2 linked regions of the Neodiprion lecontei genome follow. The protein of the gene in region 1 interacts with the protein of each later gene in a biochemical or structural test. Links are inferred from orthologs where the notes say so. Each region holds a gene or a part of one and is shown on either strand. Other genes may lie near its edges.

What was found.
Region 2: of the proteins of synembryn-A (region 1) and guanine nucleotide-binding protein G(o) subunit alpha, one has a biochemical effect on the other in vitro, tested with the Caenorhabditis elegans proteins (2 studies listed by BioGRID). The link is inferred for Neodiprion lecontei from reciprocal best matches to the Caenorhabditis elegans genes ric-8 and goa-1.

Annotation. Positions count from the first base shown.
Region 1 is NC_060265.1:6,195,180-6,201,844, reverse strand, and holds synembryn-A, read right to left. Parts: upstream 4,732-6,665; 5' UTR 4,436-4,731; coding exon 4,346-4,435; intron 4,014-4,345; coding exon 3,874-4,013; intron 3,787-3,873; coding exon 3,671-3,786; intron 3,537-3,670; coding exon 3,238-3,536; intron 3,156-3,237; coding exon 2,992-3,155; intron 2,746-2,991; coding exon 2,496-2,745; intron 2,410-2,495; coding exon 2,265-2,409; intron 2,136-2,264; coding exon 1,988-2,135; intron 1,903-1,987; coding exon 1,783-1,902; intron 1,536-1,782; coding exon 1,445-1,535; 3' UTR 530-1,444; downstream 1-529. Other genes in the region: probable dolichyl pyrophosphate Glc1Man9GlcNAc2 alpha-1,3-glucosyltransferase, read left to right, coding at 5,148-5,317, 5,387-5,659, 5,795-5,963, 6,095-6,304, 6,460-6,665. UniProt on the Caenorhabditis elegans protein: Chaperone that specifically binds and folds some, but not all, nascent G alpha proteins prior to G protein heterotrimer formation, promoting their stability and activity.
Region 2 is NC_060260.1:39,891,398-39,896,683, reverse strand, and holds the start of guanine nucleotide-binding protein G(o) subunit alpha, read left to right. Parts: upstream 1-1,993; 5' UTR 1,994-2,960; intron 2,961-5,286. UniProt on the Caenorhabditis elegans protein: Guanine nucleotide-binding proteins (G proteins) are involved as modulators or transducers in various transmembrane signaling systems. In the 1-cell embryo, probably together with gpa-16, controls nuclear rotation and spindle elongation during mitosis.

The sequences.
Region 1 (6,665 bases):
GGTACTGAAATACCTTGTCACTAAAAAATTGATTTTCAAAGTATTTTATTTGATTTCATTAAATGTTAGTCGTTTACTCTTGATTTATTATTTTTAGGAAATATGCTTTGGTTTTCAGGTTTTTTTTTTTTTTGTTTTTTTAATTTACTATTTCGTTTATGATTTTTTTTTTTTAATTCTTCCAAAGTTTGTTAAGGCTAGTCCGTAATTATCTGAAACAGGGGTCTCGTTTATGTTTTGAGGCAAATCAGCTTTTTTCTACCTTGTACCTACAAAATTTTAGTTTCATTTTTATATGAAATATTAAAATTTATTGTATTATACGTATACACATCTATATACACTTTTACAAAAAAATATAATATTTTAATCTACATACCGTATTACATAAAGTAAAAAATATGGAACATTTGCTACTTGTATATTCATCAAATGTTTTAAGATGGAAATATTTTAATATAGAATGGATAATGTTAGCCTTAAAGAAAATATTCTTTGTTGACAGTATGTAGGTTTTTTCATCATATCAACTCGATTAGACATTAACTGCCAATATATACAAACTGTTCTATATTAAGGTATTTTCAAATTACTCTATCACTAAAGCAGTTCTCTAAAATATGTAGGGGCATACATTCTTGTGTGCACATAGGCTGCAATGCAATAATAATATTGTGATGCTCACAAAGCACATAACACAAGTTACAAGAAAAAAAGAAAATTGTAATGTTTAACATTTCATGTGATTTTCGAAACTGTTATATTTTTTATTTCCTGCCAATTGTTTAATTTGTAACGTTGTTCTTTGTTCTTTTTCAATAAAGTAAGCAAACCAAGTGGGTCTCTATTCATTTCTACAATTGTTTTACACACGAGCTAATGATTTTCAGCAAATCATGGTTGATTCAGATTTATACAATACATGGAGTGTAGAATTCTTGAAATGTAAGAAAATAGACCAACTGAAATGAAATCTTAGCCTTGCTTTCTTTTACAACACCAGCTCATGACGCATATCTATGCAAGCTAAATTATTGTAATTTAAAAACATTTAGAGAAGGCATTGAAAATGTACGAAGTGAAAAAAAAAAATATAACTTGGGTAGTTCCAAAAAAAAAAAAAATTAAATAAAATGACGCGAATGGTACAGAGTAAATGAATACTTATGTACGTCATTTAATAACGTTTAATTAAAGCATAAGTACCTACAATCATTTATATCGCTTCAATTAAGTGGATATTATTTGAAAACTACAGAGCAATTAGATCAATTAAAACAAAACGGAAAGTGATAATAAATAAATTAACACAGCGTATATGCAGTGGTCAAAGCATAAATAAGTAATAATTATGGTATGATCTCGATGCGATCTTATTGGCTGGGAACTCTATACTTCAAGAAAGAGGTAATAGAGAATGTAGGTAAATTTTGATCTGTGAGACTTATTTAGAATCGTTCTGTAACTCTAAAACATGTTCTATCGGCTTTGGTTTGCCATCTTCTCCAATTCGACATGGCTGTACAATTCCTTCCCTAAAAAATAAAAATATTTTTTCAACGGGAGTCATTTCTATGTTATCGTATTTAAGAACTGCATCACTCGAGATATGCCCAGAGAACAATAAATTCAATTTTCGGGCTATTGCAGTAAAGCATAGTCTAAAAATCAAAACTGCCATTGTCCCAAACAAGACTTCAATGTTATCGAATAATTCTATTGGACATAACTTGAGGAGCACCCTTTTACTTCAAATGGAAAAATAACTTCATTTGTCAGTACCTCGTCAATTTATCCATTAGATTAGCAAGCTGAACAGCCTCATATTCCTTTCGTTCCTCACTCATTCCTTCCAAAGGATTAGGCTTTGGACTTTCGTAACAGCCAGTTATTGGATTAATTCTGTAAGAAAAATCGAAGTGTTATACATTCTGCTTGGGTACATGTTGAGTGCCAGTCGAATATCATTATCTTTTGATATACTCACTGTTCCTTGTATTTAATGTATTCATCTGTGTCACTGTCCTCTGATTCGGATGAATAATTTGTTTTTGGTTGACGACCGCCGAGAAGTCCTTTATTTGCGAACATTCCAGCTGCATTTCCGTACCCCGTGTATTTTACCATTCTAGCAACTGATGTAAGTAGTAAATGTAATTTATTCGATTTCCAATTTTATTTTTCTTATTTTATTTTTTGGAACGTAATAAAAGAAGTAAACGTCTTCAATTAAACAACGTGACACAATTGGCAAATATGCTTACCACTTTCTTTGCAAAGTATAAAAATCAGCTCTGCCACTAAATCTCTAAGGTCTGTTTGTGGATTAGTTAATTGCTTACACAACTTTGCTCTAAGCGTTATACCTTCCTCAGGTCGTTTCATAACATCTTTCAATGGTGGAAGTATCTATAGAATTGAGTTAAACAATAATTAGAATTTGTGTTCTTTCAATTTTTTTCGTAGGTATTCTCATCACTCAAGTAATTTCGTACCTGTAATCGAATGTACTTTCGAGCCAACCGTTGAGCTCTGGCGAGTCTTATTAGAACCGTAGCAATTGGTGAGATATTTTCTGTCAGATCAATTTCAGAATCTAGACGTTTGTTCAAAAATTTCAATAGCGTAGAAACTGCCCTCATATCCATGTTGTGATAGACTAGTTTCACATTATCGCTCTGCACGGGTGGAATTAATGTGCTATACGAATTTATTGGTACTACTGTTAACAAATTCACAGCATGCCTGAAATATACAATTGGAACCAACTTGAATTTTTTTTACAAAGTATAGCAAATGTTGGAAGTACAAAAAACCTCAAAAAACCTGTGTCAGTCTAACTGAATAAATTCCAAACGTTAAAGTGTTCCAGTGTATATTGACACCACCTTTCTATGATTGGATTGTTTATTATTTTGTAATCAATTGTGTAGAAATACATAAAACAACAAGAAAATTTATCTCTATTTATAGTAAATTGTAATAACTCACGATATGAGTTCATCCTGATTTTCAATAGTTTCGCATATCAGTAGCTCGTACAAAATAGATACTAATTTTTCATTCTTTTCCTCTTCCATCTGTTCATCTTCGGCTCGTATGTAAAGGTTGAATAAAACTTTCAAAACTTCACACGCAATAGCATGATCATTGACCTGTTAAATGAAGTGAGGAATTAAAAATCTGAGTTGTATTTAAATACAAATTCACGACTAAATTTCCAGCTAGGATCAATACCTTGAGAACAGATTGTGGCCTATTTCTAAGCTGCTCAGAAGTTTCTTCCAGCATCTCAATAAGATGGACTTCTGCGTTCAATTCAGTTTTAACTTTACTTCTAGTATGTATACATAGAGCGGTAACTAAAAAAAGTAGTCTAAGGTGAAACAGTCTGCCTTCGTGTGTCAGTTCGCTTCTTTGCTTGCTCAATCGTTGAACTGTTTGGGAGAGGCAAGATGATGTTTGTATCACAAGGGTCCTTGCCTGTTGACTGTTGTATATCAAATTACATAGCACTTTTAAAGTTTCCACGACAGCTGAAACAACAAAATAATAGCATATTAATCTACACTTTGACTTAGGGCATAAATTTATTTTCTGCAAATATAATGTTACTTGACAAATTTTAGGTCTTTACTCAAATTAGCTAAGGTAACGGAGTGATACTCACTTTCAGAATTGGAAGCAACATTTTCATTGTCAAGGTTATTGTCTAAGTAGGCAAATCTTAATAGAGTTGCTATTCTTGATTCTGTCACCAACTCATCAATGTCAGTTTTATCTCGGCTGCGAATAAATGAATGTTACTTGGTATATCCCGATAAGAAGAATTTTAAATACATTACTTGGTTTATAACAGGAATAGAGTTAAACCTGAGTAATCTGAGTGCACTTAGACACAATTGATGTGTAGATTTATACTCCTCGTTATTGAGGGTATCGAATAACTGTGTCCAAATTCTGTTTCTCAGATTATTTTCATTAAGCTCGGTAAAATTCCTCTGTGTTTCATGCTGTAATAAATAATCAAAATAATTCTATATTTTTAGCAACTGGCAAAATGATCGACAAGAAGCAAATAGGTGTGGTTGTTGAGTTTAATAATTCAAATTTATTAGAACGAGGTATGAAGGTACTTGTTGAAATATTCAGTAGAAACAGTATTCTTTTTTGTAATAAAGGATTGTTGAAGAGTTTGGACATAACGAATGAACAAATTCAATCTAATCGACAATTAGTAATTGAGTTAGCGAAAAAAAAATTAAAGAGCTACGACACCTGTAGGACAGGCTGCCAAAGAGCTGTTAAGATAACCTCGCCTGGGCGAAATTATTTTATAATTTACCTCAGCAATGAATTGACTCAAATTTTGAGTTAGTTCATCGGAACTCCCAGAGAAAATATCAAATTTCACAACTCCCATGTTCTGTATCATCCTTCTCGAACTGTCAGTGACGTATAGGTTTATTGTATAGTATACAATGCCGCAATTACACAGCGTTCGTTGTATTGTTGAAAAGGTATAATATCGAAACTGCGTTAACACTTGATTACATTATAGAGCACTTAGAATATGTTCATGAATTTGGGGTGTATCGTATATTAGAACGCGAAACTTGCAAACTGTAATTCGGACTTCGGTCCCGATACGTGCTTCTACAGAAGCCCTGCGAAGCGTGTGGCTATAGGTATGTATTTACATGTAATACATTTGCGACTGTGCGTGACAGTCGTCACCGATGCCTATGTGTGCCTATGTACCAACAAATATCAAGGTTCCGCCTGCTTTCGTTGTTAAATATCCGCCAAAGCAACCGAGAGATGGCGTCGCCACCTTACCACATTCCAATGTTCGTATGCGCGATGGATGAAGGCTGAAGGCAATTGGAGTACACTATAGTTTTCGCTCTGCGCTGTGATTGGCTGACGGTGCTTCCTGAACCAATCGGCGCGCAGAGGGAGAGAGATAGAGAAAGATGTGATGAGTTTCGACCGTGGTTTCTACCGGCCCGGCACAGCGTTGGAACAGTCTATGGTTGGAACACGTCGGGTGTTTAGGATAACCTGAAAATTTGAAAGCGCACAAATATCGATCATTGATATGATATTCGCCGAGGACGACGGTTCGACGTCCGCTCCGTATCAGAATGTCGTCGCGGAAAAAGAACGAAGAATCTGTAAAAACTGTCGAACCTTCGGAAAAAGAGGCAAAGGAAAATACGGCAGCAGTGGAAGATCCTTCTAACAGATCAAGTCGGTCCTTTTGGTTTCTCTGCGCCTTGATAGCATGTGTCAAACTTCTTCTATCTCCCACATAGTAAGTACATTCCCTCTTGCTATTTTTTTCTTTATGGACATCTCATTATTCAACAATTGTACGCTTTAGTCACTCGACGGACTTTGAAGTGCACCGAAATTGGCTTGCAATAACTCACAGCTTGCCGATTAAAGAATGGTATGTCAATGCAAAATCCGAGTGGACCTTGGACTACCCGCCTTTTTTTGCCTGGTTCGAATACTTTCTCAGTAATTTTGCGAAGTCTGTTGATCCGAAAATGCTGAATGTGAACAATCTTGGGTATGCGTCTGTGGCAACAAAAATATTTCAACGTTCGACTGTCATTGTTACGGACTTTGTATATGCATATGGTGTTAAAGAGTAAGTTTATTAAGATGAATTTTGTAACAGTTCAACAAATGTCATGGACACGAGCTTTTAGATGACATGTAAACGCCGACTAAATTGTGGCAAAATTCTCCTTTAATGTGAAGAAATGTTCTTTTTAAATCTCAGACTAAGCCAAACGCTTCACCAGGATGAAAAAAGCTTTGCCACGTTGATAGTTTTAACTTTGTGCAACGTTGGACTACTGATCGTTGATCACATTCATTTCCAGTACAATGGATTTCTGCTCGGTGTACTTATGTTGTCTTTGTCCAAAGTTACCAGGATTTCGAAGGAGGTAAATTATCGTCAGTACTGTTCTATCTTTGACTGTGGTATTTGCAGCTACCTTCTGAATTGATTAATCGTTTGCAATGTTATACAAGTTATTGACAGAGGTTATTGTTACTAAAATACACTACTTTTCAGAGCCAGGTTCTTCAGGGAGCATTCTGGTTTACTGTTCTCCTCAATTTAAAACACATATACGTATATGTAGCTCCAGCATTCATTGTGTGGTTGCTGAGAATGTACTGTTTCAAAAATAGACAATGTCTAGTTAGAATTTTAATACTTGGAAGTATCGTTATTCTAACTACAACATTGTCCTTTGGGCCATTCATAAGTCAATTACCACAGGTAAAAAATTTCGAAAAATATACATACTTCTATACCCTCGTAGAGCTCAATCATTTCTAAATTTAGAATTCTTTGACAGAACCCAACATACAGAAGTACAACACGACAAAATAAAGCTTTCAGTACAAATAAATATCGTGTTTAACTTTATTCAGGTAATAACAAGATTGTTTCCGTTCAAAAGGGGCTTAGTCCACGCTTACTGGGCAGCTAATGCTTGGGCCCTTTACACAGGATGTGATAAAGTACTGTCAATAATTTGGAAGCAATTTGGTTGGTCGACAGCATCTGGTGCAGCCTCAATGACTGCTGGATTGGTTCAGGAGAACGTTTATGCTGTTCTACCTACTCCCACTCCTGT
Region 2 (5,286 bases), on another chromosome or scaffold:
AACAAATTGATGCAGTTCCGAAATACATAATTAATTATCGTATATCGATCATCATTGATTGGATACAGTTTGACATTCGAACGTAACACTGAGCCTTCCCTTTAATACATATACTATATATAATATATAATATATATATATATATATATATATATATATATATACACACCTTATACGACATGTAGAGTTGGGCACTTTTAACATATTTCACAAATTTTTAAATGACCTATAACTATGTAATAATATCTATTGTACGATATGATAATACATTAAACTGAGTAATTGTAATAGACACTCGATGTAAATATGATATCAGGAATGTCATGTGTTGTTTGATAATAACCAAAATATATACATAGATACATAATAAATAATATATATATATAAATATTAATAATAAATATATATATATTATTTTCAATAAAGTACAGTGGAAAAAAGCGCATATATTGCAATAATATATACATATATATATATTCTATACATATACTGATTCGCCTATGCATACAAAAATTCATAAATATATTATACGTATACAGTACATGAGTCTGCGATAATCAAATTATTATGTAAAAACTATGAAACTCTGTTTCAATTATCTCCGCATCCGTAATTTCACATATTCACTGGCGTTACTTTAGGCTTGATAATTTTGTATTTCGTATTTTTCTATTTCTCTCTCTTATTTACCATCTACAATTCGAATTATACAGCCTTGATCAAACCGTGCAGCTTCCAATATTCTTTTCATTTTGAATCCAAACTTTACACATATACGATCTTTATACTGCAAGCGGTCGTTACTTTGATACGCCAACTATTATTTATTAGGCAATTGTATAAAAGATCTTGCTATTTATACTCACACACACACACACACACGTTGTACGTTACAAAAGTTCGGCGAGAAGAAGGAAGTGGAGGAAGAGGAGAAGGAGGAGGCGGAGGTGGAGGAGATTAAGTACGTTCGTGCAAAATAGCAAGTGTTGATCAAGGTCTGTCAGGCAGAATATCACATGCACGGCATACATGTAGAATTTTAATAGGTTGATACATTATTATATCGTGGCATAATTTTTACCCGTGTGTAAACGGAAATAAATGAATGAATAATTAAATTCAGGTTTTATTGAACTGTAAATTTGATCAGTTTACAACGAGATAAGTCGCAGGTTTTTCTTTTGTACATAACTAAGATTCGGGATCGTCGTTGCATTATTACACGTTCATTGAACGCAGTAAAAAGTTCTCGTATTCAGCCGCGAAAGAAATAAGAAATTTAAGTAATTAATGATAGAATAAAATAAGAAATACATCACGATGTCATGCCAAGAAGCGATAGTATACACACAAAAACAAACTATCACCGGATACTGTGGTGTACATACGTATATATATATATGTCTATATATTCACCGTTAAGACTGAATATTTGAATAATTCTCGACAATGAGTTTCAACTTTGTGAATGAATATTGGCATTTTGCCAAACGTGAATCGTTTCGTTCTACCACGTATATCCCTCACAGCAATTTAGGATTTGAGATGTATGCATACAGCCTCCATAATCAAGTTGCAAAAGAAGACAATTCGTGACACGTTTCGTTGAACAACGATATTTTTTATTGCGTTATTTAAAAATAACGCAAATTTTGTTTTCCTTCGAAGAAGCATACCAACTAATACTTTACTCGTCTGCCAAGACGGATATAATTTGAAAGCAAGCAATCAAAAGTCTTAAAAATTCCAGCAGTCAGCCTTCCCCCCGCCCCGTTTCAAATCTTCGCGTCCTATCTTTCCGGCAGTATTTCAGTACCGTAACTCTCGTCGTTACCGGCCGAGCGAAGTGGCGACCGTTGGTTCGGGCAAGCGACGCCAGATGTCGCCAGGCTGTAGTTTGAATCTCCAGCAAACAGGATCTCGGTCCTCTGCCTAGACGCGGGGCCCGTGGGCTGGTGCGTGGGATTGATCGGGCGGCCGGCTCGTCCCCAGCAGCGAGCGAAGGTTCGGGCGGGGCGAGAGGTCGCTGGCGTCGAGGTAGCTGCCAGTACGCGTCCAGCCTGCCGCTGTCAAAAGACGTTTTTCGATCGGTTTTAGAAAAATTTGTATCGCGTTCCCGCAGGGGGAGGAGAGCTAGAGTCACGACGAAGGCACAGCCCGGGCGTAGCTCGATTTCGCTGTTAGAAAGCGAAGAAGGCACCTAAGAAAGGTGGACGAATCGCGCGGGACGATATATAAACGGAAGAGTATTCGGGAGTGTTTATGCATCAATCAAACGGCGAAGAGGTGGCGGAGTAGATCCAGAGAGAATAGAGAGCCAGAGGGAGAAGTGATATCAACTCGTAGTTTTGGAAGAAAAATAGAAGTGACCGCGCGTCGCCGGTGAACGATTCAGAGTATATATATACATATAAAAAAAATAAAAATTTTTTTTTCAAAAAACGCGTAAGGAGAAACGGCAGAGCGTATACCCCCCGTTTGGATTGTGTAAAAAGTACCAACCCACCTCCTGAGAGACGGGGCTGTGCCGGGGCTTACGATTCTCAAATTATCGATCAAATACATAGTATCGGAAAATACAAGTGACCGGGAGTGCGCGAAAAAAAATCCCCAATAATTCTCTCGTCGCGATATCACGGTGATATAATTATCGGCAAAAAAAAAAAAAAAAAACGGTACAATACAAGCGAGAACGCATCGTTACGGGGATAATAATCGAAATTCAAAATCCATCATTCGAGAATAAAGCAGGGAGTTAACGACCCGCAAAGGCAGTGTGATACGATTAAAGGCAGAGGCAGCCAGGCGATCCGACGGAGTCGAAAGTCCAGGGTGTATGAATGTCCGAGTTCCGCGGTGCTGCAACGGCGCGGTTTAACCACCCTTGGACATAGGAAGCAGGAGACGTGCGAGGAGGAAGCCGTTTCATCGGTCTCCGAGTTCGCGGGGTGGCTTCGAAAGTAAGTGATGACGAAAAGGGTAGAGAGAGAGAGGGAAAGAGACAGAGGGAGAGAGCGAGAGAGAGAGAGAAAATGAAAATGAAAAAATAAGGGAAACAACCGCCGCCGACTCCCTAGGCTCGAATATGGCACTCCAATCAAACGCGGGCGGCGTTCCGCTCCTCGGACGGGGGAGAGAGGCGAGTCAATTGCTTTGCGGCCGCCGCTTCGCTGGTGGCGTGCGTAGGAGGGTGCGTGCAGTGCCACCGCCGCTGCTCGATCCCTCGCGATGTCGGCTTATCACCGTCTTTCCGTCCCCGCGTCTCGTTTCCCGTTCGCGCCCGCTCGGGACTCGGAGTCAATAGCTCGCAGGTACCTTCGATGTGCACGCCTTCACGTGCTCCGAGCAGACCCAGTGTGAATTTCGGGGCGATATTTCGGCGAACCAGTATTGTCGTTGAGCGAATGAAGCGCGAGGAGGATCGTCTGCTGTTGCTGTTCCGCTCGAAGCTAGCCGCGGTCGAACGTTCGAAATTCAAATTTGGAAACAAGTATTCGAAAAGCGTAGCGAATCGTAATCGTCGTTGAGCGAACGAAGCGCGAGAACGATCGTCTGCTGTTGACGTTTGGCTCGAAGCAAGCCGCGGTCGAACGTTCGAAATTCAAATTTGAAAATAACTATTCGAAGAGCATAGGTTGCATAGATCTGTAATACGATGCATAAGAACAGAGCATGCAGTTTATTGTGAAGATGTAGATGTCGCGCAACGCGGTTACATCCTCGTTAACAATTTTGTATTCGATCTGCGGATTCGCGCGAACAAGTAGAGGAAAACCGACAATGAAAGGACGTCGACGCGGCGCCGCGTAGTCGGTGCGTAATTATTTGCGGTAGATAGTAGATAGATACGGTGTAGATTAAAACGGGATTTTTACCGCGGTGCCCCGCTCTCGTCGTTCAGGACCGGGAACGAAACGGAGAATCGCTAGTTTGCTGGTTCGCTCTTCGCAGAGTTGCCGCTGCTTTTCACTGCTGTATCCATCGGCAGCCGGCGACCCCCACCAATGAAGCATGATGAATAAGTGCCTGCCGGAGAATCCGGAGATCGGGTCCGCCTCTGCGGCAGCTTTCGAGTTCGCTGCTACATACACGCTCATATTTCTTAAAATAAATACCCACCCCCGTGCGTACATGTCCGACACAAGTATGTATATACGTTTCGTACCGTTGTTGTACGCCGCCTCCGAGATTCAAATGTGTAATGAAGGAAAACCTCGGCGGTCGATTTTTTAACTTCGTGAAAAACGAATTGTTCCTCGTTCAAGCTGCTGCATGCCCGACGTTGCGTGTTCTTTCGACGACTTTTTTTTCCTGCTACTTTCGTCACGCCTTTCTTTTTACGTAGGTATATTAATTACAATAATAAGGCACGTTAGGGAGCACGAAAGAAAATTTAACTCGAGTTTGATTTCGATTAGAATCTCGTTATTATCGATTAGATTCCGTTCGAAATGGATTGTTTCATTCACGATTTATTCAAGAAGAAGCTGAAGCTAGCAGCCAGAGTTAAACTTTTTGGAAATGGAAAAATGCATTTTAGTTTCATCCTCTTAATTCTATAAAAGTATCGGAGGTTCAAGGTTTTTTCACGAAATTTTGACTATCGGTCTTCGCTACCTTATTCGAATGAACATTAGAACGTTTCGCTGTGGATTCTGGATGCTAGGGTTCATCCTCGTGAATTTAATGGCATGTGTGTTATCAACTGCGAGAATCGTATCTCGCGTTCTTACAAGAGAATCGCTGACGTTCGCGTAACGAGTCTTGAATAATTGTTAAGCGGTTAGAAAAAAACCAAAAGAAACGAAAGCAACGTACGAGGTAGATAAATTTCAAATGCACACATGTTACGTGCATGTATGTACAGTATTTAACGAAGCGGGGCAAGATACGTGTATAACGGTCTCTGAAGTCCGGAAATTTCGGGTCAAATTTAAATTAACGCATCTCTTCCGCAGCGATGTAGGTATATAATGCGGTATAATACGTGCGGTGAGGATTATACCTACGTACATATGTATATGTTATACGTAGTAAGATGGGAGTCGAAAATAAGGAAGAATTAAATTCGACTGTAGCGGAAGTTTTTTTAATTCTAATTCACTATTCATGCGTACCTTATCTACAACAAATGTAAATAGATGAATTAATTAGAGAGTCATACCTATTACTGTCGTGAAAAGTTGGCAGTACTGCACATACGTACGTTGTACTCGTCGTAGTGTATAATAATTTACACGGGAAGTTGCATAATTTACGGGTTATACAGGTATCCGTATTATCATA